Diceros bicornis minor: one gene and its partners. The protein of the gene in region 1 purifies or fractionates together with the protein of each later gene. This does not show direct contact. Links are inferred from orthologs where the notes say so. Each region holds a gene or a part of one and is shown in the gene's direction. Other genes may lie near its edges. The genes, in order: TULP3, SIRT1, WDR35 and IFT140.

Region 1 (7,285 bases):
CTTCCATACCCAGGTCAGGTATCACCCTCTCTAGAAAGCCTCCCCTGGGGTGAGTGGAAGCATTCTTCCCATTGTTGTAATTGTCTGTCTCCCTCTGCTAGACTCTCAGCTCTTTGAAGACAGGGACAGTCTGACCTCTGTGTTTCTACAAGTGGTTGGCACTCAATAAATGATCGTAGAATAAATGGTTATTCATCTTTAACTTCCCGACACCCAGCATGGTGCTTAACACTTGCTCGATAAATGTCCATTGAGCGAATGCTGTTGAATGTGAACCACTGTGTTTTTACTCGCTGTATATAGGAAGCTGTGCTCCCCACAGTCTTGAGGTAGGGGTGGTAGTTGAGAGTAGAACTCGCTGGCAGGGTATGAGAAAAAGCTGGGGAATCGTCAGAATTACTTTCTCCCAGCTTTTGTTTCTTCTCTGCAGGCATGGGTTGGAATTGGAGCCACTCCCCCGACCTGACTACAACCAGCATCATGTGGTTACTAACTGCTCTTCATTCACTTCTTGATGCCTCCCAGAAAAAAACGCCGCCCAAGTTGCCAGAAAGCCCAGCTGCTATTCCACCATCAGCCACTGGAGAGCCCCAAACACCGCTATGGATCTCCACAGCTTCCCATCACCTACACTAGGCAGGTGCCCAGCAAGCCCATTGACCACAACACCGTCACTTCCTGGGTAGGCCATGGATTCTTACTGTGACCTTTACTCTGTTAGGTTTCTCACAATGCTGACTCTTCTGCCCCTTGAACCAGGGCCTCCAAAGAATAAGAAGATTCATGGGGGCAGGGACAAGGAGATAATATACTCTTTCTGTCATCGTCAGCCATCTTCTCTGGTATATCTTCTTTTCTAAGTTCAAACTGAGGCATGGTGTGGTTGGAATTGGAGTCTCCCGCCACATTCCTCTGAGAGAGTTCAGTATCAAAGTTTCACCTCCCACTAGCTGGGCGAGAAAGCCAGATAAGTGGCAGAACAAGTACAAAATGGGATTGTTCCCTGAGCTTCACGTGAGAGGTAAAGTATTTGGGTAGGTACTCTATTTACTGTTTAATAGTCTGAACCTTGAAAAAGAGCCACAGAAATGGCATATGTCATATTTTGTTAAAAGCCCTGGAGAGAGAACATAGCTCCTATAAGTCAGGGAAGTAGAATAGCAAAAGAGCCAGACAAAAGCATAAACTCTGCCTAAGAGTGCTTAATAAATGTAACTTGTCGGGGTTGCTTGGAAAAGCCATAATATTTGCTTCAGGATTGTAGAAGAGACTTAAATGTTAGAATCCTGGGGATGAGAAGAGGAATGAAATTTGTTGAGAATTCATTATGTGCTAGATCCTATGCTAGTTATTTTGCATACGCGGTCTCACTCCCTATTCTTGCATTCAGCCATTCATTCATTACTGGGTCCTTTCCTGTGTCAGGCACTCTGCTAGGTGCTGGGGATCAATGGTGAATAAGGCTGGTCGCTGCCCTCAAAGTTTAAAGATAGTTAAGTTGCAGCCATATGGTGTGATAAAGTGAAAGAGGCATTGTCCCCTTTCTTACACATGAGGAAACTGAAAGCCAGAGAGATTAAATAACTTGCCCAAAGCTCATATCCTTATCTATCTATCACATTAGACAGGTGTTTTTGTTTTGTGTCCATTACTATAGTAGGCCCCCATTTGGGATTCTGGACGTTGGGTGTAGTTTCCTTCCTGAGGTTTGTACTTGGTAGTTGGCTCTCCTCAGCTTTTTTTTTTTTTTTTTTTTTTTCATCCTTAGGTATCACCTCAGTTTGATACAACAGCAGAAAACTCGTTCCCAGCCAACCGGAAACGTCGTCGCAGAGACCAGGCAAGACATTCAAGTCGAAAATCTACCACCTCCAAGTTTCCACATCTAACATTTGAGAGTCCACAGTCTTCTTCCAGTTCAGCCACACTTGGGATCCCCTTAACCGGGGGATACCCCAATCAATCAGAAAAGGACATTTCCAGAAGGCCCTTCATTCCAATGCTCAGTCCCCAGAGCTGTGGGGAGCTGTCATCACACGCACTTCAAAACTTGCCTTATGTGTTCATTCCACCTGAAATCCGGACCCCAGAGTCATCTTCTGTGAAGGAGGGGCCCATTCCCCCAGATCAGAGGGAAGACAGCCTTCCAAGCTGCTCCCTTCACACTAGTACTCCCAAGAGCCCAGAGCCTGGGCCTGTTCTGGTTAAAGACACTCCTGAGGAGAAGTATGGGATAAAGGTCACGTGGAGGAGACGAGGGCACCTGTTTACTTACCTCAAGGAGAGAGGGAAGCTGAGCAAAAGCCAGTTCCTTGTGAAAAAGTGACTGGGTTTCTCAGATAACAGTAATCTCAAGACATTGATTGCTGGTTTTCACAGAGTTGCTCAAGTCGCTTTTCTGGCTCACAAGATAGCACATCGATAGAATAAAGTGGAAATAATACCAATAACATCAATAGAAAAAGATATTTTAACTAGACCCCTGGAGTCATAGGGAATTCAATTCCCAGATTTACTTTTTTAAATATCTTGTCATAAACAGTTCTTAGTGTCATAAACTGTTTACTTCATATTTTTCTTGTATTAACTGTTTCAAATTTTAACGTATCTTGTAGTAACTGTTTAAAATGTATGTAAACAAATGGTTGCAGGAACTTTTTAGAGAACCCTGCTTCTGACTGCCCCCTCCACAGAGGGTCTTTCCTAATGGTTTCCTTTAGCCACTACTCGTTAATCCTTTAGTCACCTCATGCAAACCAATTCATTCCACAGTTTTGAGTACTGACTCTGCGTCAGGCTCAGTGGCAGCTTCCTCTATGACCTGATGGATGGAAAAAATCTAAGCAAATTCTGTGACTTTTTATAGTTGAGCTGCCGCCTCTGCAACCTTGGCTCCTCTGCTGAAAGGAGAAGATTGAAGAAGGGGCAGCAAGCCCTGTTTAGTGAATACAGTGGGATCAGGGCAGGTAAAGGGGACATGAGTAAGTTACTTAGGTTTGCTGTGTTTTGATTTTTATTTCCAACCGAAGAAATCTCTAAATATTAAATAGGGTGGGAAAATGATTTCTTGCAGTAACTGTTTGAAATGTATGTAAATAAATGTGGAAACTTTTCAGAGAACAGTGCTTCTTATTGTAATTAATGCGGGACTACCCAGTCAACAAAATGTTTCCACTGGCCTTTCATCGATACAAATAGCATTTCATTCAACTCCATTCATTCAGCTTTAAGAACCCACTCTGTCAGGTCCAGCCGAGCCAGAAAGCAGGGATTATTGTGTTTGTTTTACGGACGGGAATTTGAAACACAGATGGTGAACCACGCTCAGGGTCGCATGGTGGGTGGAGGCTGGCCCAGTGAGTGCCGTGCTCTGCTCTTCTCGCTTGTGCCAAGTTCCATGCCTCTTAGAAATTCAAAACCAATGTGGAAACAACTTTGACGTCGGAATGCTATAAACTGAGGTCAGTGTGCAGTAACTGTCCGGATGTTTTGTGGGGACCATAACGCTGTATGTAAGTTGGTGGTGAGAAAAGAAGTGATGGTTGGGGACAAGATTTACTGGAAACGATAGCACAGATTTACACAGCGGATCTCGTCATGGAGTATGGATGTTTGAAGACGGTCCATAGGCTGTAGAGAGAGGTCATGGAAAAGATTGTCAGGAGAGTCCGTGGAGAAGGTCTAGAATGCTCTAAAAGCCTGGGCTGGAGTGGGGAGGCTGAAGGAGTTTTGTGCAGTTGAGTGCAAGACCAGGTAACTATATGAAAGATGCATTTAATTGGGTGTGACTGCTGCAGAGGGGACAAGTGTGGCTCCCAGGAAGGCCCTGGTGTCAGGGAAGGGGCCGGTCTGTGAGGGAGCGGGCAGAGATCTGCAAGCCCTAACATTACAGCCCTCGGGAAGCGCTCTGGGTGGTCTCAGTACAAACGGCAGAGGATTGGGGACGCCGCTCCGCGCGTGGCGGCTAGCGGGGGTAGGCGGCCCCTCCGACGGACTGGCTGCCTCGCCGCGGGAGCCCACGCGGCCGAGCGGGACCCAACACTCGGCCCTCAGCCCCTTCCCGGCGCCGCGCTCCAGGGCCGGAGCCCCAGCGCGTCAGCCCCGCTCCGGCGCAGGCGCCTCGCCTCCCGGTTCCTCCGCCCCTAGAAACCCTCCCGCAGCGCCGGGCGGCGGCCACAGCCAATGAGACAGGAGCGGCGGCACGAGGGCCAATGGGCGGCGGCGACAGTGCGGGGTGCGTTGCCAGGGGCGGGGCCTGGCTGCCGGCCAGGCTTGCCACCCTAGCAGCGGCGTCCCGGGGTCTGGATGTGGTTGTCTCCTTCTGGGCGGCGGGGATGGAGGCTCCGCGCTGCCGGCTCGGACCCCGCGGGGACAGGTCAGAGACGGGTGGTGGCTGGTCTCGTCTCGAGCGGGCGGAGGGCCTGAGACCGCGGCCGTCCTTGCGGGGGCTCTGAAGCGAGAGCGCTCGGTCGGGGGACGAGGCGGGAGGCGAGCAGAGGACCCCTTTTACAGGGGCGCGCTGGGGAGCAGCGGCTCTGCGGCGGCGCCGGGAGTGGGGCCTTCGTGTTCGTGTTCAGGTCCCAGCTTGGGAAACTCGTGGAGCTTTTTACGAGCTCGCCTTGCCCTCTGTGGGCCTCCTCACTCGGAGCGCGTTACCCTGCCCCTCGCACTGCCCAGCAGTGTCATTGCTGAGGTTGCATGAAGTCTCCGGGCTGTTGAAGCGGAAGGTTCTGGGTGATGTTTGATAGTTTGCTTAATGCGGTTGCGTCGGGCAGGCAGTGCTGAATTCTGCAAGAGTCCGACGGCTGAAAATGCAAAACTAGTCATCTTTTGCTATCTGCTTCTTAGTAACTCGCTCTTATGCGGCGTTGTCTGTCGTATTTGCAGTGGACCATGCCCCTTGTTTGTGCTCCTCTTGCTCTGCCATGCCCCTTTTTTCCTGCCTCCGCCAGAGGGAGAGCCTGGAAAAGAAGACGATCCGAAATCTCAGCCTGCCAATTTCTTGTTAGCTGGGTTAATGAAAAGTTAACGGGGAGCAGTGTGAAATGATTGGCTTAAAACTTTGGCATTGTCTGAGGATTTATTCTATTACCATAGCAAATAAAGATTTAGCATGTAAGGACTTAGTCTGATATTTAGACTAGTCGATGTTTAAACAATTGTAAACCATTTAAAAGCGTTGTCAGGAAGGAGGCGTTGGGGTACAGAACACTCATTTTTCTCTTTCATCAGATTTCATTGACGTAATAGCTGCGCTCTGTGAAATGTGTTCGCTGCTCTTTTTTTTCAAGTGGAGAGAAAAATATGCTACATTTACGAGTACAAATATGAAAATGCTAGGAGGAGGTAAAGTTAAAATTCAGCGTCTGTGTTGAATTCAGATGGTGCTTGTTAAGTTGTGGTCACTCAGTAAATCTTTTTTTTTTTACGAGGAGATCAGCCCTGTGCTAACATCTGCCAATCCTCCTCTTTTTTTTTGCTGAGGAAGACTGGCCCTGGGCTAACATCTGTGCCCATCTTCCTCTACTTCATATGGGACGCCACCACAGCATGGCTTGACAAGCAGTGTGTTGGTGTGCGCCTGGGATCCGAACCTGCGAACCCCAGGCCACCGCAGCGGAGCACGAGCACTTAACTGCTTGCGCCACCTGGCCGGCCCAGTAAATCTTAATTGAATGAATTTCAGGGAGTAAATTTCATGGGTACGAGATGTTTGATATGACTCATGATTTTTGAAAAAAAAAAATTGAATTGACTGAAATTGAGACAAGGAGGCAAAATGGTTTTTAATTTATTGGACTTGAAGTTTAAAGGGATAATTTAGAAGTTTTTCTGTCTTTTTTCTTCCCAAAGAAACCAGCTCTTTAATTTTAAATCCAAGGGGAATGTGTGAGTCACGGAATGTTCCTCCTGCAGCAGGTACTGTTAGTGCAGCTTCTAGCACAGTTTAACTCATTCGTTGCTGAGAGAAAGTGGAATAGGTCTTGCTTTTTTGGCTTTAATGGTTTTGATGAAATACATTGATAGAGTTTTTGGTATTAATACCTTTCAATGTGAAAGATAACATCTGACTTCTAAGTTTCTTGTGATTTTTTTCTTCTTTAATTATGTGACTCTTTTACCATGAGGCGGATGTATTTTCAACAAAGTATGGTAGTCCCCTCTTGTCCGTGGTTTCTTTTCCCGGGTTTCAGTTATTCGTGGTCACCCATGGTGGGAAAATATTAAATGGAAAATTCCAGAAATAAACAATTTGTAAGTTTTAAATTATAAGCAGTTCTGAGTGATGAAATCTGGAGTGGTCCAGCTCTGTCCCACCTAGCACGTGAATTATCGCTTTGTCCAGGTATCCACTGTGTGTACCTACCGGCCTGTTAGACCGTTAGTTAGGGAAAAATAGTACAAATGGGGTTCGGTACTACCCGTGATTTCAGGCACCCACTGGGGGTCTTGGAACGTTTCCCCTGTGAATAAGGGGGCACTACTGTAGAAAAATTATTAACAAGTAAACTCCAAATGTTTTTCCTATATCTGAAATATTTAGTGGAAATTGGAGATGGAATTTGAGACAGCACTCTCGGGACTTTTGTTGGGGCTAGGCATTTTGTATTATGGGTTCCCTGGAGATGACAGTGGTTTGCTACTCCTACAACTTGAGCTCCCTCTAGCCTTTTGTTCCTGATAGAAAATTGAAGATGTGATGAGAGAGACTTTTCTTTCTCGGTGTGATGAGAGAGACTTTTCTCGGTGTGATGTGACCTTGTGACCCAGAGTTGACTAAGAAAGTCCTAGTCTGTGGTTTATCCATATGCCATGATTTCTCTTTAGAAATATGAACAGTAGTAGTGCCTGAAAGTTATGTCTTGGCCAGGCTTGTTATCCTCTCTCATGTTCTCTCTTTTTAAAATGTTTCATCAGATGGACTAATTGTTGGCAAACAGACTTACCCAGTGCTTAAAAATACTTAGATTAACTTATACATGACCTCAGTATGTTTGGCAAATATCGAAAGCTATGGTAAAGGCCTAATAACATCTAGTGTGCGTGTGTTTTCCGAAATGTGAAGGCTACATACAGACCTAGGAAGGAAAGAATAATCCCTGTAATAAATTTCCCTTCTTCCAAGATCCTTCTGTTCCAAGCAGACAGACTCAGATAGTTTTTGGAATAGTTTCATTTCTGGCTTCTCTTATTTCCTGTGGAAACTCCGCTGTTTTCCCTGCATTTGTGCCCGTTGAAAGAAAAAGTTAATGTTTCCTCTCAACCAAGAGGAAAAGTATGCTTG
Region 2 (7,246 bases), on another chromosome or scaffold:
TTTTAAATATTTATATAGTCAAATATATATTTTTAGAATATATTTTATAAATTTATATATTTTAAATGGCTTCTGTCTTAGTTCTTTTTGATGCAAAATTATATATTATAAAATGTCTTCTAATATTTTTATTATATTTTTTTCATGTAGATCTTCAATCCACTTGGAATTTATTTTTGTATTTAGTGTGAGGTAGGAATCTGTATTTGTGTTTTTCCACATTAATAACCTGTTTTGCTAATACTGTTTTTCAGTACACAAAGAATTGATACTAACTCCCCTACTAATTGTAGTCACATGAGATTGAAATCAAAGCTATAAGGCCAATTTTTTTGTTCATATAAATAGAGCTGCCAAGTCAGCCAGAATATTATTGTTGGCTCTTGGAACATTTTCTTCCCAGTGGGACAGTCTATATGGGAAACCAAATTACTGTTGAAGGCTGCTTAGGGGGCTTAGAATTTGAAAACAAGTTAAAAATCCTAGTGACTAGTGTGAGAAGTCTATGACAGCCTTTGGTATAATAAAAAATAAATATTTGTCTTTGTCCTGTTTCTGAAACACACCTCCTAACACCCTTGGAATTTGCTGAGTGTTAGGAGTGTCTTTTGTTATTCATAATGAACTCCTTTCCTTCACTCCTGAGTTTATGCTAATGAGGTAGCTTAGGGTGGGGCTCCTAGATAGCTTCAGCTGGGGCTGGTCACCAGAAAGACCAAGTGGTTAGAGGGCAGGAACTTTCAGCCCCACTCCTGACCTCCAGAGAGAGGGATGGAGCGCACTGGAGATTGAACTCTATAAAAAGTCTTCAACAAGGAGCTTCAGAGAGCTTCTGAATTGGTTAACACATCCATGAGCTAAGAAGGTGGTGTGACCCAACTCCACAGGGACAGAAGCTCCTGTGCTCTGGACCTTTCTGGACCTTGCCCTACGTACCTCTTCATCTAGCTGTTCATTTGTATCCTTTGTAAGTGTCATGGGAACTCCCTGTTTATAGCCAGTTTGTACAGGAGGTCTGGGACTGGTGACTGGCATCTGAAGTGGGGGCAGTCCAGTGTCATAATTGAGTTGAACTGTTAAATACCCAGTTGGTATCTGGAGAATCAGAACTGGTGGTTCGTGTTGGAAAACACCTCACAGCCCAATGCACCTACGTTCATCCTGTCAAACAAGAAACAGGTCATGTCATGTTTCATTAACTTTCTCACCTGAACTGTGCTGGGGACAAACTGAATTTCCTTGCCTTGCTTCTTGCCTTTTTTTGTTTAGGATTCATGCTGCCCATCACCTTTCATTCACTAATTCTTTTCCTATATGGAAATCTTCATTTAGATTCTTTATTCTTTCATTCAATAAATAGATGTGCTAGTTACTCTACTAGAGAGCTGATAACACAGAGGTGAACCACATGAACCAAATTCCTGCTGTAGCTGGGGGAGACAGTCAGTAAAACACATAGAGAAAAATAAGTTAACAAGCAAAATAGGGGAATGTGCTCTATAACGTTCTGAATAAGGTATAGAGAGGACTCATTCTAGGGAAGGAGATACAGGCAAAACAGTATGACAAATATATGGCAGGCATATATGTATTTATTTTAAGCGCTTCTAGTGTTATTTTGTACATATATAAGCAAATACATATATATGGTCTCCCTTCCACACTCTCCCTTTTATTTTCTCACAAATAGTGCTACACACACTGTTCTACATCTTGCACTGTGCAGCATGGAGAGCATTCCATATGACAACTTAAAGAGCTTCCTCATTTATTTATTTTTATTTTTTTTTGCTTGAGGAAGATTTGCCCTGAGCTAACATCTGTGCCAATCTTCCTCTATTTTGTATGTGGGTTGCCGCCACAGCATGGCTGACAAGCAGTGTAAGTCCATGCCCGGGGTTTTGAACCTGCAAACCTGGGCCGCCAAAGTGGAATACACTGAACTTAACCACTATGCCACATGGCGGCCCCAAAGAGCTTCCTCATTTTAAAAAAAATGGTTTGGGGGCCAGCCTGTGGCCTAGTGGTTAAGTCTGACGCATTCTGCTTCAGTGGCCTGGGTTCAGTTCCTGGGCGTGGACCTACACTACTATCGGCAGCCGTGCTGTGACAGCGACCCATGTATAAGATAGAGGAAGACTGGCACAGATGTTAGCTCAGGGTGAATCTTCCTCAAGCAAAAAAAAAAAAAAAAAAGTCTGGTACATGAATAGCTCGGTTTAGAATATACTAATGCTAAAAATATTTACAAGAAGGTCAAGGCCAGATTCATGGGAGACTTGAAAAACTGAATGTGAACTTGCAAGCCTTAAGGACTAAGAATGACTTGAATTTCAGGCAAGTTGTTCTCAACTCCTGGTAGGCCAGATATCTAGTTGAGAAGGTGTGTGTTTGTTTTGTTTTTTAATACAATTTCTGTCTCTCATTTATCCTACCTGCCACGTGTACCCCATCTCTGACCTATCAGTACACTAGCAATCATATTGATCACAATAAAGACTAGCAAATGTCTTTGATTCATGATATATATAAATGAATGAATGAATGAATAACAGGATGTCCATAAGCTTACAAAGGTCTTTCTCAAAAAAGCTAGGAATTTTGTTTCTATTTTGATGGGATACTGACTCTCAACATTTCATATATTACATCCCACCAACGTGGCTGAGAAAGAATTTATGAAATATTTTGTAGAACAAGATAGACAAAGTGGGGAGAGAACAGGTCCAAGTATATCAGCCAGGGAGGTATCTATGTAGTCAGGAATTGGAGAGAGTATAGGAAGGAAGGAAGCACAACAGGATTTGGTCACTGATTGGTTACAGAGCATCAGTCTGAAGAAACACTTCAAAGTTGATTCCAAGTCTTCTTGAAAGAAATAATCACTTTCAGAAATGAAAAGAAATGATCAGTTGTAAGGGGAGATTCTCAGTTTAATTTGAGGTACAAAGACTTTTGGATATAGATGGGACCTTAGAGATAGATTTCCAATATTCTACTTTTTTTTAAGAACGAAGAAACAACTTAAGTTGCTTGCCTAAATTCACACAAGTAATTGGTGCAGTATAGGCAAGACCCACGTTCAGCTTAAGGGATGATTTACTGTAAACTCGGAGAGGCGCTTTAAGTGGACAGAAATGCCGCACTCCAGAAGCAGATGCCCTACCAAGCACTGGCTCTAGATCTGCCATGTATTATATGAGTCCTTAGTTAAAGATAGATATGGAGTGACAGAGTCCTGCAATTTCAGGGTAAATGGAAAGTAGGGGCTTCGAATAGGGAAGTAACTAATATTTTTGAGCTACTATGTATCCCTCACTTTACATCTGGCTATCTCATTTAATTCTCATCACAACCCTAAAAAATAGGTATTACCATTTTAGAGATGAGAACACTGGGTTTAGAAAGGTTAACTAACTTGCTCAAGTTAGAAGGGAAAGATCTCAAATACTAACCCAAACCCAGAGGTGTATAGGGGCCAAGTCATGCTCATTCTGTACTCTTCTTATATTGCCCCACTTGACCCAATACACTCACTTTGTGAAGCCCAGAGAAGGGAATTCACACACATTTGGAGCCAAGCTGAGGCCAGAAAGCAGACAGGTTGATCCCCAACCCCCCAAGTCAAAGGTCTTTCCAGGGGGTACACATGTCTTTAAGGATTTGACAGCCTACATCACCCTACAACTGATGGAGAGAGGGGGAAAAAGCAATCGGCTTAGGAGAGAAGCAAAGAGAAAAAGGAGCCAAGAGGAGCTGTCAGAATGGTGTGAGGAGTGAGCTGTGTCCTTTCGCCTCTACTCACACCTGTTAACAAAACAGACCCACCATCCAGCCTCCGTCCGGGAGCTAAGCCTTGGCCAGCTTCATTCCTTCTCGCCTCTCAGGAACTAAGTTTTAACCCTTAGCTTAAATCTTGAAAAGACTAAAGCAAGCAAGGTGTGCACTTAAGGCAGAAGTGGAAACTCGCACTGTGAATCAAAGCTTGAGCCAGCCTGGCGGCAGCGATTTAACGACAGTTCGAAAGAGAAGTTGAGAAAGGGGTGAGTTTGGCAGCACCGAGCGCCTGCCGCCAAGGGGTGGGGCGGCACCGCCCAAGGTGCGTTTCCTCCGGGCCCACGCCGCCTTCGCCAGCCACGTGACCCGCCGTGTTGTGGTCCAGCCCGCGTGGGTGGCGGGAGCGGCGGGGGCGGGGAGGGCCGGGTCACGTGACGGGGTTTAAATCTCCCGCAGCCGGAGCCGCGGGGGCGCCAGTGCCGCGAGTCGAGCGGGAGCAGAGGAGGCGACGGAGGTGGGCCAGAGAGGCAGTTTGGAAGATGGCGGACGAGGCGGCGCTCGCCCTTCAGTCCGGCGGCTCCCCCTCGGCTGTGGCGGCCGAGAGGGAGGCCGCGTCGCCACCCGCCGGGGAGCCGCTCCGCAAGAGGCCGCGGAGAGACGGCCCCGGCCTCGGGCGGAGCCCGGGCGAGCCTGGTGGGGCGGCCCCCGAGCGTGAGGTGCCGGCGGCGGCCGGGAGCTGCCCGGCAGCGGCGGTGGCGGGCGGGGAGCGGGAGGCCCAGGCGGCGGCGGCGGCCAGAGGAGACAATGGGCCGGGCCTACAGGGCCTATCCCGGGAGCCGCCAGCGGCCGACGACTTCGACGACGACGACGACGACAACGAAGGCGACGACGAAGGCGACGACGAAGGCGAGGAGGAGGAAGAGGCGACGGCGGCGGCGGCGGCGATTGGGTACCGAGGTGCGCAGGGCGCGGGCGGCCGGGACTGCGCATCCCCTCCTCCCTCTCCCGGGGCCCCTCCTGGGGTGGGGTCGGTGGGGGGGGGGTTCCCTGGTGCGGGCTGGGGGCTCAGGGCTGGCTCTGTGGCGTGCCCCTCCCAACCACGGCCCTCCTGAGCTGCGCGCCTCCGGTGCTGCTGGCCCGGCTGCTGCTGGCTTGGCTGCGCGAGCGGCCCGCGGACTCGCTCCCTCCCTCTCCTCCCGCCTTCCCTCTGTCCGCCGCCCGCCCGGGCTTCGCGCTTTGCGCAGCCGCCGGACCGGGAAGCTCTTGCAGTTGGTTTTAAAATGTTTCTCTCTCCTCCTACTCTTATAACATATTGCTTTTGTTAGACATCTTTTGCTTCCCACCCCCCGCCCCCCCCCAGCACAATTAAATCTGCAACTTTTGCATCGACCTTTTGCAGTCGTCTTTGCAAACTGACACCTGTGCAATTGGTGACTTTTGACAATTGGTGACTGTGCAGTTGGTCTTTATTTTTGAGCTAGCTTAAATTTTAAACAGCAAAGCTATTTCTAAAGTCATAACCTGCAAAATTTGAAGAGTATAAAGACGTTACGTAAAGACATTACCCTTCTGTGGTGCAATTAATAGTGGGCATAGGAGTGATAGTACTTGTAGAGCACTTTATATGCATAGTATTTCTCCTCTAATCATGTTCTTATAATGGTTTTTAGATTAAGTATAATCTTTTTGTGTGTGTATATGTAACCTTGAAACACGAATTGACATTTTTTCTGGCATACGCAAGCGGTTGTTAGTTGTATATGTCATGTCATCTTTGAAGGTTTCTTATTTTCCATCTGAGGAGTTTCTGCCCTGTGTTTATCAGTATTTGTATCAAATCCAATCAGTGGACCATTTGACCATCTGTAAAGGTAACAACGTGTGCATTAGGAACTGGATTAGTAAAACGACTCCTGATTTCAAGAAACACACTTTAATAGGGGAAACGAATAATGCAAAGATATCATTGTATACTTAGTATTATGTAAGAGAAGTGCAAATTGCTGTACTTCATTTGAACGACTTTTTTGGTGAATTTTTGTGTGACAAGTTTCATGAACTCCATTCTTTGTGATCGATAAAGTCAATCTAACTAGGTTACTACTTTTTGTGTTTTGATTAGGTAGACCCAATTTATTTAAATTTTGACGAACTGAAACTTTTAGATTCTGGGAAGAAGCGCTAAAAATGAGGATATACTGCTCCTGTGAACGGTGAAAGCTAACCCAGTAGGCATTCTTTACACGGGCTGTATAAATGTTACGTGCTTTATTCAGGAGTGGGCGTGGTGGCTTAGTGGTTAAGTTCGCGCACTCCAGTTGTGCGGCCTGGGGTTCGCAGGTTTAGATCCCGGGCGCGGACCTATGCACGGCTCATCAAGTGGTGCTGTGGCGGCATGACATACACAAAATAGAAGCAAGATGCCTACCAATGTTAGCTCAGGGCCAATCTTCCTCACCAACAAAAACCAGAAAGAAAATCTTTGCATTGTAGATCTTCGTACATTTTAGATGTAGATTGTTTAAGCAACCTTGAGTTACTTTTGGTTTCTTTTGCAGATGATCTTCTGTTTGGTGATGAAATAATCACCAACGGTTTTCATTCTTGTGAAAGCGATGAGGATGATAGAGCCTCACATGCAAGCTCTAGTGACTGGACTCCAAGGCCGCGGATAGGTATGGTTTCACAGCTTTAGAGAATAAATGTTTTTTTCTTTGTATTTTTGTTTTATGCCAACTGAAAGTGTAATTCTCTGCCCCCTTATAACCTAGTGATGAGGTTCTTAAGTGCTTGCTGAGATTTAATGTCAGCTTATGTTTCTAGGGAAAGTCTAGTGCTTTGTTCTGTTTTTGTTTGTAGCAGCTCAGGCCCACGGAAGCTGGCATCTGGTATTTCTCAACCAGGTCTCTCTCACACCTCGAGCCCTTTTCACTCATACCTTCTGTGTGGAATGCTCTTCCTCCCATTAAGAGTATCTTGCTCCCTCACTTCATATCTCTTCTTTAATTTTTCTTAACACTTTTTTTTTTAAATTTTATTTATTTATTTTTCCCCCAAAGCCCCAGGGGATAGTTGTATGTTATAGCTGCACATCCTTCTAGTTGCTGTATGTGGGACCCGGCCTCAGCATGGCCAGAGAAACGGTGTGTCCGTGTGCGCCCAGGATCTGAACCCCGGCCGCCAGTAGCGGAGCCCGCGCACTTAACCGCTAAGCCCCAGGGCCGGCCCAACACTTAACTTTTTTTATTGTCTTGTTTCCTGTACTAGAGTATAAGCCCCATGGGGGCAGGATTTTTGACTGATTGGTACACTGTTTTGTCAGTGCCTAGAAAAGTGCCTGACACATAGTTTGTGCTCAGTAAATATTTATTAAGTATGTAGATGAAATGGGAAAGTATTTTGAAGTAGAAAACACTATCAGATTTTTATACCAAAGTTATAACATGATCATCTCAAAAGTAATCTTTTT
Region 3 (7,790 bases), on another chromosome or scaffold:
AGCTGCCTAACTATTTCTTTCTTTAGTGCTTCTCCATAGCAGTATATGCTCCTAATTGAGATCTTAGTAACAGATGGAGCTCTTATGCTGATTCCTTCAGATGGCTTTCTTAGTTCAGAATCTGTACATGTACAGAATGAGTCAGCTGATAAGGGGTGTGACGGCTCAGATGACACGTAGTTGTACACTTCGGCTAGCCAGGTGGTCAAAAAGCAGATTCCAAAATGTAACGTGGTGCCATCTCAGAAACTTTCAAAATCAGTTCTTTAGCCAAATGAGTAATTTAGGAAAAGTACTTTTTCTTAGCACAGTTAACAACACTGTTCCTAGGGGCCTGAGGCGAGTGGTATTCAAATTGCGATGGGGATACCCTAGGAGTATGCAGAGACTTTGGGGGGAATAGGGGTGCACAGAACGTTTTAAAGGAACCAGTTCCAAAGCCTTCACTTCCTTAAATTGATCTGCCTAAAATGGTACTTGGGGTCAGTTGGCATTCTCTTTTCCCATCTCTCACTTCAGGATCACCCTTCTCCTAACTTTACCCAAGAAACGCATACCTCCCACTCAGCCTGAGATTACCAAGGTGAACTTCTTGGAAAAGTACAATCTCCAGAGCCACACAAAGGGAGGATTCAATAGCTTTTTAAATCAAGGCTTCATAAACACTGCTCCCCTATTCCATTCCATTAAGAGATACCTTTCCAGTTAAATCTTACCTTTTATTTTTAACGATTTTATGTCAAAATTTGTAATTTATTTTGTTTGGATCAATTATGTGTTCATAATAGCTGTAATGGTAATCCAGATGATTAAAAACAAAATTTAGGGCCTTTATGGTCAAAGAAAATTGATTTAAAGGTAATTTCAATATAAATGTGTGTGTGCTTGTTGTTTGTATAAGCTTACTTGAGAAGTACAATAGAGTGATCCAGAAAAGATTTCCAAGATTCAAAGTGGAATAAAATTCTGTGGAGAAAGTAGAAAGGAAATACAAATTCAAGGAAATACAAATTCCTTTATTTTAAATATTTTATTTTAGAAGAATGATAGTAGGTATTAATTCAGTACGATATTAATATTATGTGGGATACATTTGAAAGACTGATTTAAATGTTATTTTAAAGACTCAGTATTTATAGCAGAAACTGCATATTTTGTAAATAAAACATGATAATTTTCATATAATTTAAATATGCATGACATGACTTATTGTCAAGATTATTTTAGGGAATATATGAGCAAAAACGTCTGAAGACCACTGCTTTATATCGTGCTTTCTAAAGAACAGAATTTCTGAGTTTTAGATTAAACTAGACTTTTGGTGAGAAAACAATTTTGCTCTTTTTGTTTACAATAGAATGTAATTATTTCTTTTGTATTGAAGTGTTTGAAAGTATGTTTACATTTTCTAATGTCTAAAAATCAATAGTGTTGGCCTTAACAACTAGCCACTTGATGACGTTTTGGAGAAGTTGCAAGCAAATGAATATGGACAAATACATCGTTAAGTTTCTCAAATTTTTCACCTGGAAAATATGGAGAGCTTGGTGTATTTAATACTTTGCGTACTCCAATGTTCCTGCTAATAATTTGCCATTACAAATGCCTGAATATTACTGGATAAGTAGTATGAGGATCTTCTGGAGAATCAGTATCATTTTTCTAAGGAAATAAATGTCCAGATCCTCATTAAGAACAAACTTTAGTGTCTAAGCTATGACTGTGAAATGGTTGGTAGAAATAGAATGAAAAGTTTAATGTTTCTTTCTGTCTTTACTAATTGAGCCATTTAATTTTTAAATGTTTATATTAGTAAGATAACCATACTTACAATGGGAACTTCTGATCTATTTTCTCTTGATAATATTTATGGTATAAAACAATCTTATTACTGAAAGTGTAAATTGTACAAAGTATTTACACATACAAAAGTTGATATAATTAAATTGAGAGGAATATAATTTAGAACTGTTTCTTTAACATTTTTTGTTTTTACTAGAGTATTATTGAAGCTGTGATCAGGGGATTGTAATATACATATCTAAACATAGTTAACACAGATCAAGTGAACATTACATGCCATTTTTAATTCATTCTGATGTTAGAAAGAAACACACAACTAAAGACTTTAGTTGTGAAATAAGAATGTTGTAACTTTTTACAAAGGACATAAAATCCTACATTTAGTTTATTGTTTTACTTTAAGATCCTATCAATAAAATTATATATTTATAAATATTGCTATAACAAGTAACAAAACCTAATGTTGTCTTTTTAAATGTTAGTGATAAGCCTAACTTTTTTTCACTTATATATTTGATACATGTTTTTAGCTTTAAAACTTATAACTTTTAGAAGAAAACAATCCTTTAAATTGTGTACAACTCAAGTCCTCTTTTGGTTTGTATTGTCTTTGGTATAATAAAAAAGTTAGTATCTTTATATATTATTGTCATCCCTTTTTGTCGTGACTCATATCAATTTTGTCTATTAACATATTTCCTTAAACTAAATTAACATTTATTTTGAATATATAACAGTTTCTTGTCAAAGGACAAAATGTTGTGACTCTTCCTATAATTTAATCTTATGCTCTTAAGGTTAAAAATGTAAGTTCAGGGGCCAACCCCGTGGCCTAGTGGTTGAGTTCGGCATGCTCTTTCGGCGGCCTGGGGTTTGGGTCGTGGGCACGGACCTACACCACTCGTCCGCAGCCATGCTGTGGCAGCGACCCATATACAAAATAGAGGAAGACTGGCACAGATGTTAGCTCACGGCGAATATTCCTCAAGCAAAAAGAGGAAGACTGGCAACAGATGTTAGCTCAAGGCGAATATTCCTCAGCAAAAAACCAAACAAACAAAAAGTAAGTTCAGGTTAAATACAAAGGCTTTAATCAAGAATGTCATGGGAGAGGGAATAAAACAAAATTATCTAAATTTATATAAAATATTGTTGAGGCTACATTAATATATGTGCCTGAGAAGCAAATATAACCTCAGATGTAAACCCAGAAAACAGTCAAAAATCTAAAATATAAACTTTAAAGGGAAGAAATGAAAAATAAATACATCAAGGGAGTATATATTATATGAAACATATTGTTATTTCTTAACATTTTTGAAAGGACATGATATACAGTAGTTATTTTCCAAACTTATTTGAGCATAGAGTCAGTAATGTTAATATATCACAGAGAAATGGTGCTATAGAAGGAATAAGAGCTCATGTGCAAGAACTAGGGAAAGGTATTTAAAAAGATGATTTTTAAACAGTGTGACCATCAGTAACTAGCTTCAACTAATCATGTCTTAAACTTGACCAGTTGATTGGAATCCCCCGGCTTAGATAATACTGATTTGTTTCATGAGTCCAGTGTAGGGTGCCCGTGAGCATGTGCCAACATATCTTAGGAATTTACAGTTTGGTGCTGAAAAAACAGATACACATACATTTGAAAAGAAATGCATATATTATCTGAATGGGATGGGGGTTATGTGTGGAAAGAATTTCCCAGGGAGACCTGCTTTGTGTGTTTGGCTAGGCACAATTGGCCAAGAGGGTAAGGACATCATAGGATATATAAAATGGCCTTGGAAGCAGAGAGGAATGGTAGGTTGCAGGAAGTATATTGGCTTTCTTAGAATGGGGGCACCATAGTAAAGACGTTTTAGGATTGAAGGAAGATCTGATTTTAGCTGGGGTTTAGATTTGATAGGAAAGGCATTAGGAGCATTTCAATTCTTGAGTGTGCTGGGTGAGGCAAACAGACTCAGGTCAGAGGATTTGAACATTTGCTTGAGATGGGGAAAGAAGCTACTGCTGCATAAAGTACATGCTAGATTATACAAATCAACAGTGGTAGCTACAGAATGTGGGAAAAGGAAAAACCAGAGAGAAATAAAAAACGGGTGAGACTAAATAATTTCATGCGAGTTTCTGCCCTATGCCTAAAATTGTGGTGATTTGTAACTCTCCAAGCATTCAAACAGGACAAAGGAGAATTGAAGAAAGAAATATGGTAGAACAAGAAGAGAATATTCAACAGTCGACCCAGGAGAGAAAATACCAAGCACCTCAATTAGTATTTAAAAATGGAAGGCTATACCCCAATGGCAATCATACACTGTAATGGCCCAAAGCTCATACATATTGTTTTTATAAGGACTCTTGGGCTGCAGTAACAGCTTAAATAAGATGTTAAAAAGTTCTGAAACAAACGTAATAAACACAATCTCCTGTCCCCAAACTGCTCCAGAGGGTTCTCCAATTCCCAAAAGCGCATGGGAAGGTTTGCAAGCTCTGAAAACGCACATTCCCAATTTCATGTGGCCGACGGTGTCAGTTTACCAAATACAGTAAATGAATTTTCCCTTTCAACAATGTTGGGACTTTGGGGCTTACAAAATACCCAATCATTGTGACCTCATTTGAAGGAGCGCCTGTCCTGAGTCGATCCTGACACCTCAGGCGAGCTCCACCGCGACCATCCCAGGTGTGGCAGGTGCTCCGTGCCCTCAAAGACTGAGGGCAGCTGAGACGAGGCGGCAGGGCGCTGAGGGTCAGCGACGAGGCCCCAAGCAGGGGGCAAAAAGGCCCAGAAGCAAACACACCACGTCCAACCACAGCTTCGGCCCCGCGACCACCGTTCCTACAAGCCCCCCGCTGCCCGCGCAGGCGCACGACGCCCGGGGCCCGTGCGAGGGCGACACCGGAAGTGCCCTCGGCGCCCCGGATGCGACCGGGCGGCGGCGGTTGCCAGGGCGACGGGAGCTTCTGCAAGCCGCTGGTACATGCCATTGGCGACGGAGAACAAGTTTCGTGCTGCGGGCCTTGACGGCGGGGGTCGTCCTGTCGGGGTTCCCAGGATGTTCTTTTACCTGAGCAAGAAAGTGAGTTTTTTGGGGGCGCCCCCGCTTCTCCTCCGTTCTGGCGTCCTGCGGGCGATTCCCGCATCCTGCCGGCGAAGCCAGGCGCCTGATCGCGGCTTCGCCATCCTACCCCAACCAGCCTCTGACCTCCTCCAGCCGATCCTCGAGTCCCAGGTAGTCCGTGGGGGGACGGGGGGGCAGCAGCCTCCTCGCACGACTGTCTCCCATTACTGCCCCAGGCTAGGTCCTTTTGGGGGGTCAGCAGGGCAGAGCACTGCGTGCTTGCCTGTCTTTCCTCCTGCTCCTGTTGCTGATCCAGGTGACTTAAATTCTTTGGATCATCCCGGACCTCTGGGCAAGAGAAACGTAGTAACAAAAGAGTAGCCTAAGTGTTGTATGTAGAAAAGGAATATGGACTAATGGTATGGATTTATACCTCCTAACCGCCCCCCCCCCCCCAAATTTATCTGGTGACTCCGGTGAGGGGTTCCTCCGCAGTCACTGCTCTTCTCTCCTGTTCTCTTCTTTCTGTCTTTCCCAAATGGTAGGGCCCGGGGAAGCTCAGGGGACTGTGCCCGCATCATAACAGCTCACTCTTTCATAAGGGTGACCGTCTTTCTTCTTGGGGGATTTTCTTCAGCCTTCATCTCCTGTGGACTCACTTCTCGACTCCTTCGTGACAAGTTGTATGAGTGGTTGTGGTTGCCTTTCAGATTGCCATTCCCAATAATGTGAAGCTGAAATGCATATCTTGGAACAAGGACCAAGGATTCATAGCATGTGGTGGCGAAGATGGATTACTGAAAGTTTTGAAATTAGAGACACAGACAGGTAAATGAATGCAAGCCCAAATGTTTGAACTTGATGGAAGATTGGCTTGTGTCATTTGTTCAGTGGGATTTGCTCATGGTATTCGTTAGTATGCCATTCTAATTCTTTTAAAAGGAAAAAAACAAAATCCCAAACATCTTGTGTTTTTGTAGAGCGTTTTTGCAATAAAGTTCAGAGAATATCGAATGTAAATGTCAGGTGGCTTTTGCTGAAGTTATTGATGAAAAGTGAAAAAGAATGAAAAATGAAAATTAAGCCACTGTGCTGTCTTGTGCTATGTCTGTTTGTTGTGCTTTATTATTAGGAGTCTAGTAAAAATCGTGTGAATCAGCATTTCAGTGAGTCACAAAATCTTACATTTTGGCAGATTATTTGTAGGCCTATCTCATCTTTTCCACTTATCAGATGGGTCAATTATTATGTATCTAGTTTCCAAGAACAGAAAACGGGGTTTTAAAAAAACCCCTTTTTTTTCTTTTTTTGCTGAGGAAGATTGGCACAGATGTTAGCTCAGGGCCAATGTGGGATGCCACTATAGCATGGCTTAATGAGCAGTGTGTAGGTCCACCCCTGGGATCTGGCCCTGCAAACCCCCCGCCGAGGAACTTAACCACTGCACCAGGGGCAAAGGCCCTAAAAAAAAAAACTTTTTTTTTTTAATAAGTCTCTTGTCATTACAGCTTAATTTCTCTTCTTCTAGTTCTTTGGAATCATAGCAAACTTCACAAAGCAGAATTTCACATTTCTTTAGCATCCCTAGTGTTGCTCTAGATTGGAGATCTAGGTAATCCCCTATCTGAATTGGAGATCTAGATAAGGAGATTGGAGTTGGAATCGCTGCTCTGCCATAAGACTTCTGAAGGACTTTCAGCAAATTGCTGAATATCTTTGGGCTTTAGTTCACTCTTTTGTGAAATGAGAGGTTGAACTAAATTACATTTTGAATTCCTTACAGTATTGTGTGTCAGACTTTATCAGGCATAAGAATCATCTGAAGAGATTGTTAAAATGGATGTCTGGGCTCCAGCCCCAGAGTCGATCTGGGATAGGGTCTGAAAATTTGCATTTCTAGTGATACTGGTGTTGCTTGGTTCTCAGATCACACTTTGAGTAGCGCTGCTTTACCATTTTGAATGTGGTTGGAATCATAAATGTTTACTGATCATTTTCTATGTATGGGGTGCTTAACTTTCACTATCTCATTTGACTTGACAATAATCTTGAGAGGTAGGTATTCCAGATGAGAAAGCTGAGGCTCTGATCAGTTAACCACGGGCACACAGCCAGTAAGTGGCAGAGCTGGGATTTGAAACTAAGCTTGTCTCATTTTTACGTCTTTGTAACCATTACACAAAGTGCTTGGTGGACAGCCTAAGCAAAGAGAGAATAATTGTTTTCATGTGCTAGATTAATTATATGAATAAAAGGCAGGTAGATACTTATGTACCAATTAGAGTTTGGCTTCTGATGTTTAATAATTTAATGTTTCAGTGCTTTAGTTTTCTTAACTGTGTTAAAATAACTTTTCTCTGTTATGCCTTTCAAACATGTATATGTATATATATGTATTTTTTATTTTGCTTAAAATATGTAGCAAGTTTTAGTTACATTAAGAAATGCATTCATTATGTAAAACATCGAAGGCTTTTCCAAAAAAAATTGCTTTTTTTCTCTCTCTGCCCTTTTGATGAAGTATAGGGTATTCTTTGAAATTAGTGAGCGAGATGGAAAATAGATTCTTGAGGTTTGGAAAATGGAGTAAATTATTTGTTTTCGAACTTATTGAGTGTAAATCATGTTGAAAGAGTTAAATATGAGAAATATAGCTGGAAGATTCTAACAAGGTCAGTATATTGTATTTAATAATAATAGTTGTGATGCAGCAGATCCCTCTGGTAACAACCACCAGATGTTACATGCCTACTACATATCAAGCATTGTGTTGTGCTGAAGATGTTATGTTGTAAGTGTGGTTTTGTAGCTTTGCTATCAAATAGCTAAGTTATTATCATTCATCAATATAATACAACAACCTCTATATCAATAAAACGTCTTCTGTAGCATCATTTTTAATGGCTGTTTAGTATT
Region 4 (7,477 bases), on another chromosome or scaffold:
GCCGTCCCGGGGGGTCTTGCCGTCCCTCTTTGTGCCGCCGCTCTCCTCGGCCGCGTCCCCGCCGCCGGCGCCCTCTCCTTCCAGCGAGTCCTCATCGGCCGACCTCTTGCCCAGCCTCTTGAGCCCTTCCTCCCCGCTGCTGCCGTCTCCCAACTTCACTGTCATCCTGGCGGGGAGGGGGGCGAGGAGACCCTCGTGAGGCGCGCGGCCCGGCAGCCTGCCGGAGAAGTTTAGCCGCCCCGATTCCCTCTCAACATGGCCGCCGTTGTTTGTTCCAGATCCCCTCCCGGCGGCCCGCCCGCCCGCCCGAGCCCCAGCCCGACCGGGGCCCGAGCCCGCCGCCCGCCCGACCCCAGCCCGGACCCTCGCGCGCCCGCCCGCTGCCCAGGAAACGGCGGCCGGGGCGGCGCGGAGGCGGCGGGGCAGCAGCTTGGGGGCCGCACCCGGACGGCCCTGGCCGCGCGGCGCCCCAGCCCCGGCGGGATCGGGTAGGGGGCCGAGGCCGGGGTCCCGGGTTCCTGGGGTCCCAGGGTCGGGGCCCGGAGCCACCTACCCTGCGGGCCCGCGGCTCATGGCCTGCGCGGCGGGCAGGCTGCGCGCCGGCCTCGCTCCCCGCGCTGCCTGGGCCGGCCGGGCCTCGGCGCCCGCGCCCCCGGACCCCACCCCTCCCCGCCCCCCAAAACGCGCGGGGCTCCGGCCCGCGCACCTGCCCCGCACGCTGGCCCCCAAAGTTGGCCCCGGAGTGGGGGCGACCGGCCCAGATCGACCCCGGCAGGGGAGAGGCGCGGGCTCGCCTGCGTGCACAGGGAACTCCATGGTGGCCCGCGGCTGCCGGTCCGCCTGCTTATTTTAAAACAGACATAAAGAATAATAAGCTCGGGGTTTCTGGGAATCTTGCTTCCCAGGGTGGAAGATGTGTGCGGCTGCGGGGATTTACGAATTAAAAATGCTTTTACAACAAAGGAGCCTGTTGCACGGAACAGGTTGGAGCCACCCGTGAAAGTGACAGCACAGTTATGTCTAGGGCCAAATGCAAGAATGGGTTAGAAGATAATTGTGTTAAAACTCTTGGTAACCATTCATAAAATTCTTGCCTTAACTTTGTTACCCACTGCTGTGTGAAATGTCAACAACAAAATGCGATGACCCTCAAAATGTTTGCAGCCCAGAAAACAGATCCACTCAAAAATTAAGAGAATCAGGTACACATCAACAATATATGCCCAGAAATAGTCAATAATGTGTACCTGCGATGAAGCAAGAAAGATAAATATTAGATTCCTCAACAGGTGTTGATACCATGCCCAAACTGCGTTTGACATGCTCATCACAACTGCTGAGGATGGGAACATTTCCATTTAAAAGGAGAACCAGAGCAAGACATCAAGGCTAACAGTCAAATACAGTAACAAGGGCAAGGACCTATCACAGAAAGATTTGGAAATGAGTAAAAATCACAGTAATACCTACTACTGCTCTGATATATTCCATAACAAAATGATCTGTAACAGTTTTCATCTGTTGGAATTGATCTTACAAATCATTTAAATCCATGCTAGTTAAAAAAAAAGAAAATCCTGCCAAAGAATAGACTATACAAGACAAATACCCAAACTTAAAGGACTTCATTGCACAGGGCTTCTCACTATTCATTTCTCAACCTATCCATTTCTACTTAAGGCACCTGAAAATATCCCAAAGGGCCTTTCTCTGGGTTATAATGTGGAGAACCCTACTTCCCAGGGACCTATCATCGCAAAGCTACCCACAGTCAACCCAGGACCCAGGCAAAGCATACATCAGTCACAACAGATTAAACTTGCCCATTTGCCCGGTTGAATACTGGAAGACAGACACTAAACTGAACACAGAAGGACACAGCTTTTCAGAATTAAAAGGATACTGATACATTTCAGAGTTTTCCCCTAAGAGAAAAGGAAAACATAGGGATGGAATCTTTCACTGAAAACCTCCAGCATTACTTCCTGACCATCCACAGACATGGGATCACTTCAAGCCCAATCCTGGCTCGACACCGTTTGTCACATTTCGGGAAGAGAAAAGCAAAACCTTCCCTCTTGGGCTGATTTCCGGCTGCACACAAAGAGCGCTGTCAACGCAATATTTCTCGCTCCCGGCAAAGCCCCGGGAAAGCACCGCATGCGTAGCCGCCGCCGCGAGGGCGCAGGCCGCTTCTCCCGCAGCCCCGCTCCGGCTGGGAGCCGGGCCTCACCGTGACAGCCGGTCAGGGCGGCCCACCTCTCCCGAGCCCCAGTCTCTGGTCACCTTTTTCATCAACGCCTTGCAGCAGCCTGGCTTCCCGGGACCCCCGGGGGCCTCCCGGGCGCCCGCAGAACCGGCCGGGCCGGGCAGTCCCAGCCCCCGAGTGCCGGCTACAGAGAGGCCGCGACGCCGCAGTGATCCTCCCGCCTCAGAAGCGGTAGCCGAGCGACGCTCGCCCCGGCACGTCCCCTCCGCGGCCGGCGTGCGGCTGACGGGGCTGCGGGCACCGGTGCTGCCGCCGCTCAGCCTCCGGGAGGCCCGGCCCGCCGCGTTCAGCAGCAGTTCCGGCTACGGCGGCCGGCGGAGACCGCGGGGACGACGCGTGGGGCGGGGCCGGGGCGGCGGGCACGCGGGCCGGGGCGGGGCGACGCGCGCGGGGACGAGCACGCCCGAGGTTTCCACCGTGCGCACCCCACTACGGGCGCTCCCATTGGCCAGCAGCGGGCGCGCTCACAGGCACGCACGGACGCGGGGCGGGAACGAGGGGCGGGCCTGCGACGCGGGTAATGTTGTGACGCCGGGCTCGCGCCCGTGCGGGCCGGTGCGTCTCTCTGGATTGGTGGATTAACAGCCAATAGAGTCAGCGCCAGGGCTGTGATTGGCCGGAGCCGTGTTGACGGATGCGTGAGAAGAAAACGCCGCCTCAGCTCGGAGTCTTGAGTCGGCGGGAACCGAGTTTTTAACGAAGTGTGAAAGTACAACTGAGGCGGATAAACACAGCCTTTATTGGATCGAGTGTGTGCTTTTGAAGTTCTTTAGCGTAACAGATGGTGCTGGGCACTTAGCTCATTTTTCTTTGTTATGGCGATAAAAGTGTTTTTTAAAATTCTAGTGTATATGGCGGGCGGGGGTGAGTTTGATGCTGTTTAAGGGTACAAACTTGTAAGTAGTAAATAAGCCATAGAGGTCCAATGCACAGTATAATGAGTATAGACAATAATTTTGTACTGTAATTATATAATATGATAGATATGGCTATATCGGCAATCATATTACGTATATAAACGTATCAAATTAAAACGCTGTATAACAATGTTACATGTCCAACTTATTCAATAAAAAAATTCTAGTGTTTACGAAAATTGGGTTTTTAAAAATAGAATCGTCCTTGTACGTATGTAATCCCGTCCGATCCAGTAGTATCTACATTTTCCTCTTACTTTTTCATTTGTTTAACAATGTGGACCTTTGGGACCCGCTCCTGTAGTTACATCTTTCCAAGCACGTAGGTCAATCAGGAGGTGGAGGAAGCAGCGGTGGGGGTGGGGTGGGGCACGAAACGCCGTCTTCTTGAAGATTCCCTCCTCTCTGGTTAATCTTATTGCTAGATCTTCCGGACCCCACCCTTTGCTAGGCTCCGCTCTGTCTGGTCTCAAGGAGGAGGGTGTGCAATATGAACTATTTTTTTTATGACATGACGTTGATTTGTTTTTCAAAGTTAGTTTGACCACAGCTGACGTTAGGCCAGGCGCACGTTGTAAAATGCCTTTGGGAATGCAGCTGCCGCCACGAATCAGGCTGGCTTCTAGCCCGTATCGTTGGCTACCATTTTCTCGCCGAAGGCGTCCATATGGCCCCCAAAGCATTGAACGCATGTCGTTAGTTACCTAATAACTTCAAGGAACTATGTCGAACCAACTGGCTTTTCTCTAAAATACTCTTGAAACACATCCTCCTCCTTGAGACCAGACAGAGCGGAGCCTAGCAAACGGTGGGGTCCGGAGGATCTAGCAATAAGATTAACCAGAGAGGAGGGAATCTTCAAGAAGATGGCGTTTCGTTTCTCCCCCCTACTCTCTGCTGCCTCCTCCACCTCCTGATTGACCTACGTGCTTGGAAAGATGTAACTACAGGAGCGGGTCCCAACAGGCTTTGCATCCCCATCACACCTGGAAGAATTTCACCAGCTTCGCCTCTCTTCCCTGGTCTCTCTGGCCCCCTTCCGAGCTAGCGTTGTTGATGCCAGACTTCGGCTGCGATGGGGAGAAATTGCCCCGCGGGTCCACCGAGCTGGCCTCCTGCGGGGACCCGCGGGGATCATCCCGCAGTCGGCGCCGCACGAAGATTCCCGATCGTCTTCGACTGTTTCCGGCCTCTCGGGGCGATTCGGGCGGCCTCGGCGGCCGCATCGCTCACCTTCGGCTGTTTCCGCGTTCCGCTCGCAGCCGTTGTCCCGGCAACGCGCGGCCGCCCGGCGGCCAGACCCTGGTGAGTGCGGTTCCGGGGTGAGGGCCGCCAGGGGTGTGGGAGCGCGGGGAACGGGGTGGGGGGGGAGCGCGGGGAACCGGGGGTGGCGGGGAGAGTGGGAAGGGAGGGCGAGTTGGGGGGCTGGGAGCCGGGGAGGGGGACGTCGACGAGGCGGGGCCGGGGCGGGGCTCGGGGGGACCGAGGGGTGGGGAGCCTCGGGGGCGCGGGGGCCTGGGGCCGGGAGGAGGGAGACGATGCGGCGGGCCAGACCCTGTCCCGCGCCCTCCCAGGTTATTTTCGTCTGGAAATCTGTCATGGGCCAAGCGCCCGCGGCTCCTCTCAGGTCAGGTGAAGGCTGGGGGTGCTGGGCGCGGCGTCGAGCGGTCAGCGCGAGCCGACGTCCACCTCAGGCGCAGTCCAGATCCGATTGAGGACCGCGTGGCCGTGAGAGTTCGGGGGGCGCGGACCGGGTAGTGGGTGGGCCGCGCGGGCAGAGCTCCCGGTGATGCTGGGGGTAGGGAGAGAGTGAGAAAGCCACCGTCCTGCACTGTCGGTCCTGCGGCCCCAGGGAACCGCACTGTCCCAGACCAGCGAATGCCTGTCCTTCGTGTCCATGAGACGCAGCTATGACCCTGCACTGCCCGAGGCCCGGGGCCCGTGGCCTAGAGAGAGAGGCTTTGCAGGGTGGCCACTAGTGCCTGCCCCCCACGCCCTTGCTCAGCCCCTATTGCCCCAAAGTCCTCCGGTTTCCTCATACAGCATCTCCAAGCAGTGGTGCAACCAAATTAGCTTTAATACCAAGAACTCCTTAGTTGAGTGAACCTAACAGATTCTTTCCCAAAAGTTGGTTTAATGGAGGCCATAAGGACGTTGGACGCCTAGAGGTGAGAAAAGCCAATCGGTTAGAATAAATGGAATTTTTTTTTTGTTTTCTCCAAAGTTTATACCTTTGCCAAATCTTTTTATGTTCTAAGAGACCCTGAGTTTGTTTTAAGGGAAGGAAGTGAACTTGTTTCTGAACTGATGCTATTAACAGATGTCATTAGGTAACGATTTTATTGTTAGTCGTCTCTCCTCTTTGTGTTTATTTTGGTAACTTTTCTTTTATAATTATGCAGATAATACTTATTCATTGTAGAAAAATGTTAAAATGCAGGTGAAAGGAATGATGCACAATCATACATTGTATAAAAATGGACTCATTCACCCTGGCCAGTAACCCACTTTTTACAACAAAACATCAAGACCATCTTTCCTGGCTAATAAATGTTTTCAACAGGGATTCACATATTGGGGGCCTGTTCTGTGCAAGGCACTGTTCTAGGGGCTGGGGACTCTCTGGGGGTCTCCCACCCTGTGGGGCAGATAATCTGGTAGGGGGTGGAGGATAGTCAGTCAAACACGCATTTACAGTAATGTCTAAATGCAGCCATATGGAGAAGAACAGGGTTCTATGGATACACTGGGCAGAAGCACAGAACACCCCAAAAGTTGTCCGAGAGCTCCCTGGAGGAAAGGAGGCTGGATTCCTGTGTCCAAAGGAGGGGTGTGAGGGAGGGCCTCTGGGAAAGCCCCAGGCAGGAAAAAAGTAATTTAAAGATCTAGTAGTGGGGCTGGCCCAGTGGCATAGCAGTTAAGTTCGCCCGTTCAGCTTTGGCAGCCCAGGGTTTGCAGGTTCGGATCCCCAGCACGGACCTACGCACCGCCTATCAAGCCATGCTGTGGCGGCGACACATGTAAAGTAGAGGAAGGTGGGCACGGATGTTAGCCCAGGGCCAAGCTTCCTCAGCAAGAGGAGGATTGGCAACAGATGTTAGCTCAGGGCTAATCTTCCTCACACACACACAAAAAAGAAATCTCTTAGTATACATTCTTATTAGAAAGTGATGTCTGAAAAAAAAATAGAAGAGATCAAGTTTAACTTTTTCTTTCTTTTTTTTTTTTTTGAGGCAGATTGGGCCTGAGCTAACATCTGTTGGCAATCTTCCTCTTTTTCTTTTTTCTCTCCAAAGCCCCAGTACATAGTTATATATCCTGGTTGTAGGTCTTTCTGGTTCTTCTATGTGGGATGCCACCTCAGCATGGCTTGATGAGCGGTGAGTAAGTGTGCGCCCAGGATCCGAACCGGTGAACCCCGGTTTTAACTTTTTAAAGTGCTACTTATATTCTTTCTCCATCGTTACAGCAAAATTAACATGTTACTCATTTTTCAGAGGAATATTTTCACAAAGTAAACTTGTTAAATATGAATATGAATTTCCCATAGCCAGGAGTTTAGACTGTTGATTGGCTGCGACAAGTTAAAACTCACTTTAAAAGGTTTCCTTTGCTATATTAAATCGCCCAGGTTTTTATCTGGCATGTTTTCATTTTCAATGGCTTTGTTTGAAGGTTTGCATAAGAACTTTTTTGTGCGTGTATGTGAGGAAGATCAGCCCTGAGCTAACATCCATGCCAATCCTCCTCTTTTTGCTGAGGAAGACTTGCCCTGAGCTAACATCCGTGACGATCTTCCTCCACTTTATGTGGGACGCCACCACAGCAGGGCCTGACAAGCAGTGCGCACCCAGGATCCGAACCCAGGCCGCCAGCAGCAGAGTGCATGCACTTAACTGCTTCGCCGCGGGGCTGACCCCTGCATAAGGACTTTACTCCCAGAAGTTGGAGCCTTGACCAGTGTAGATGTAGTGATGTGTGTGCGCAGGGGACCCTGGATCCAGCCCCTTCCCCTGACTCCTGTCCCCCCACCCGCCCCCACTCACTGCTCCACTAGGAGCCCTGAATAGGTGCTCTTCAGTCCGTGGTGGTGAGAGTACAAGCTCGAAAATTGTGCCTTTGTCTAGTATTCAGGGTATATATTCATAAGAAAAAAGTAAACATTTGAAATGTGACTGTGCATCTGTACCCGCATGCCTTCCAGCTTTTCACTGGACAGAGTTTCCTTCTCTGGATCCAAGCTGAGCCTTCGTGGCTTCCTCTGATACAACTATCGTATTGCTAAAAGCAA

Evidence for each region.
Region 2: the proteins of TULP3 (region 1) and SIRT1 purify together in Homo sapiens (affinity purification with mass spectrometry; 5 studies listed by BioGRID and IntAct, counting the BioPlex papers as one, with this or other methods). This does not show direct contact. The link is inferred for Diceros bicornis minor from reciprocal best matches to the Homo sapiens genes TULP3 and SIRT1.
Region 3: the proteins of TULP3 (region 1) and WDR35 purify together in Homo sapiens (affinity purification with mass spectrometry; 5 studies listed by BioGRID and IntAct, counting the BioPlex papers as one, with this or other methods). This does not show direct contact. The link is inferred for Diceros bicornis minor from reciprocal best matches to the Homo sapiens genes TULP3 and WDR35.
Region 4: the proteins of TULP3 (region 1) and IFT140 purify together in Homo sapiens (affinity purification with mass spectrometry; 5 studies listed by BioGRID and IntAct, counting the BioPlex papers as one, with this or other methods). This does not show direct contact. The link is inferred for Diceros bicornis minor from reciprocal best matches to the Homo sapiens genes TULP3 and IFT140.

The regions. Positions count from the first base shown.
Region 1 is NC_080756.1:58,499,190-58,506,474, reverse strand, and holds the start of TULP3 (tubby-related protein 3), read left to right. Parts: upstream 1-4,283; 5' UTR 4,284-4,334; coding exon 4,335-4,375; intron 4,376-7,285. Other genes in the region: RHNO1 (RAD9, HUS1, RAD1-interacting nuclear orphan protein 1), read left to right, coding at 515-682, 1,769-2,326. UniProt on the Homo sapiens protein: Negative regulator of the Shh signaling transduction pathway: recruited to primary cilia via association with the IFT complex A (IFT-A) and is required for recruitment of G protein-coupled receptor GPR161 to cilia, a promoter of PKA-dependent basal repression machinery in Shh signaling.
Region 2 is NC_080745.1:37,974,015-37,981,260, reverse strand, and holds the start of SIRT1 (NAD-dependent protein deacetylase sirtuin-1), read left to right. Parts: upstream 1-4,238; 5' UTR 4,239-4,316; coding exon 4,317-4,734; intron 4,735-6,335; coding exon 6,336-6,452; intron 6,453-7,246. UniProt on the Homo sapiens protein: NAD-dependent protein deacetylase that links transcriptional regulation directly to intracellular energetics and participates in the coordination of several separated cellular functions such as cell cycle, response to DNA damage, metabolism, apoptosis and autophagy.
Region 3 is NC_080751.1:61,804,965-61,812,754, forward strand, and holds the start of WDR35 (WD repeat-containing protein 35), read left to right. Parts: upstream 1-4,789; 5' UTR 4,790-4,793; coding exon 4,794-4,892; intron 4,893-5,584; coding exon 5,585-5,702; intron 5,703-7,790. Other genes in the region: MATN3 (matrilin-3), read left to right, coding at 1,453-1,508. UniProt on the Homo sapiens protein: As a component of the IFT complex A (IFT-A), a complex required for retrograde ciliary transport and entry into cilia of G protein-coupled receptors (GPCRs), it is involved in ciliogenesis and ciliary protein trafficking.
Region 4 is NC_080765.1:46,786,603-46,794,079, forward strand, and holds the start of IFT140 (intraflagellar transport protein 140 homolog), read left to right. Parts: upstream 1-4,461; 5' UTR 4,462-4,491; intron 4,492-4,740; exon of another isoform or gene 4,741-5,354; intron 5,355-7,477. Other genes in the region: CRAMP1 (protein cramped-like), read right to left, coding at 1-166, 707-816. UniProt on the Homo sapiens protein: Component of the IFT complex A (IFT-A), a complex required for retrograde ciliary transport and entry into cilia of G protein-coupled receptors (GPCRs).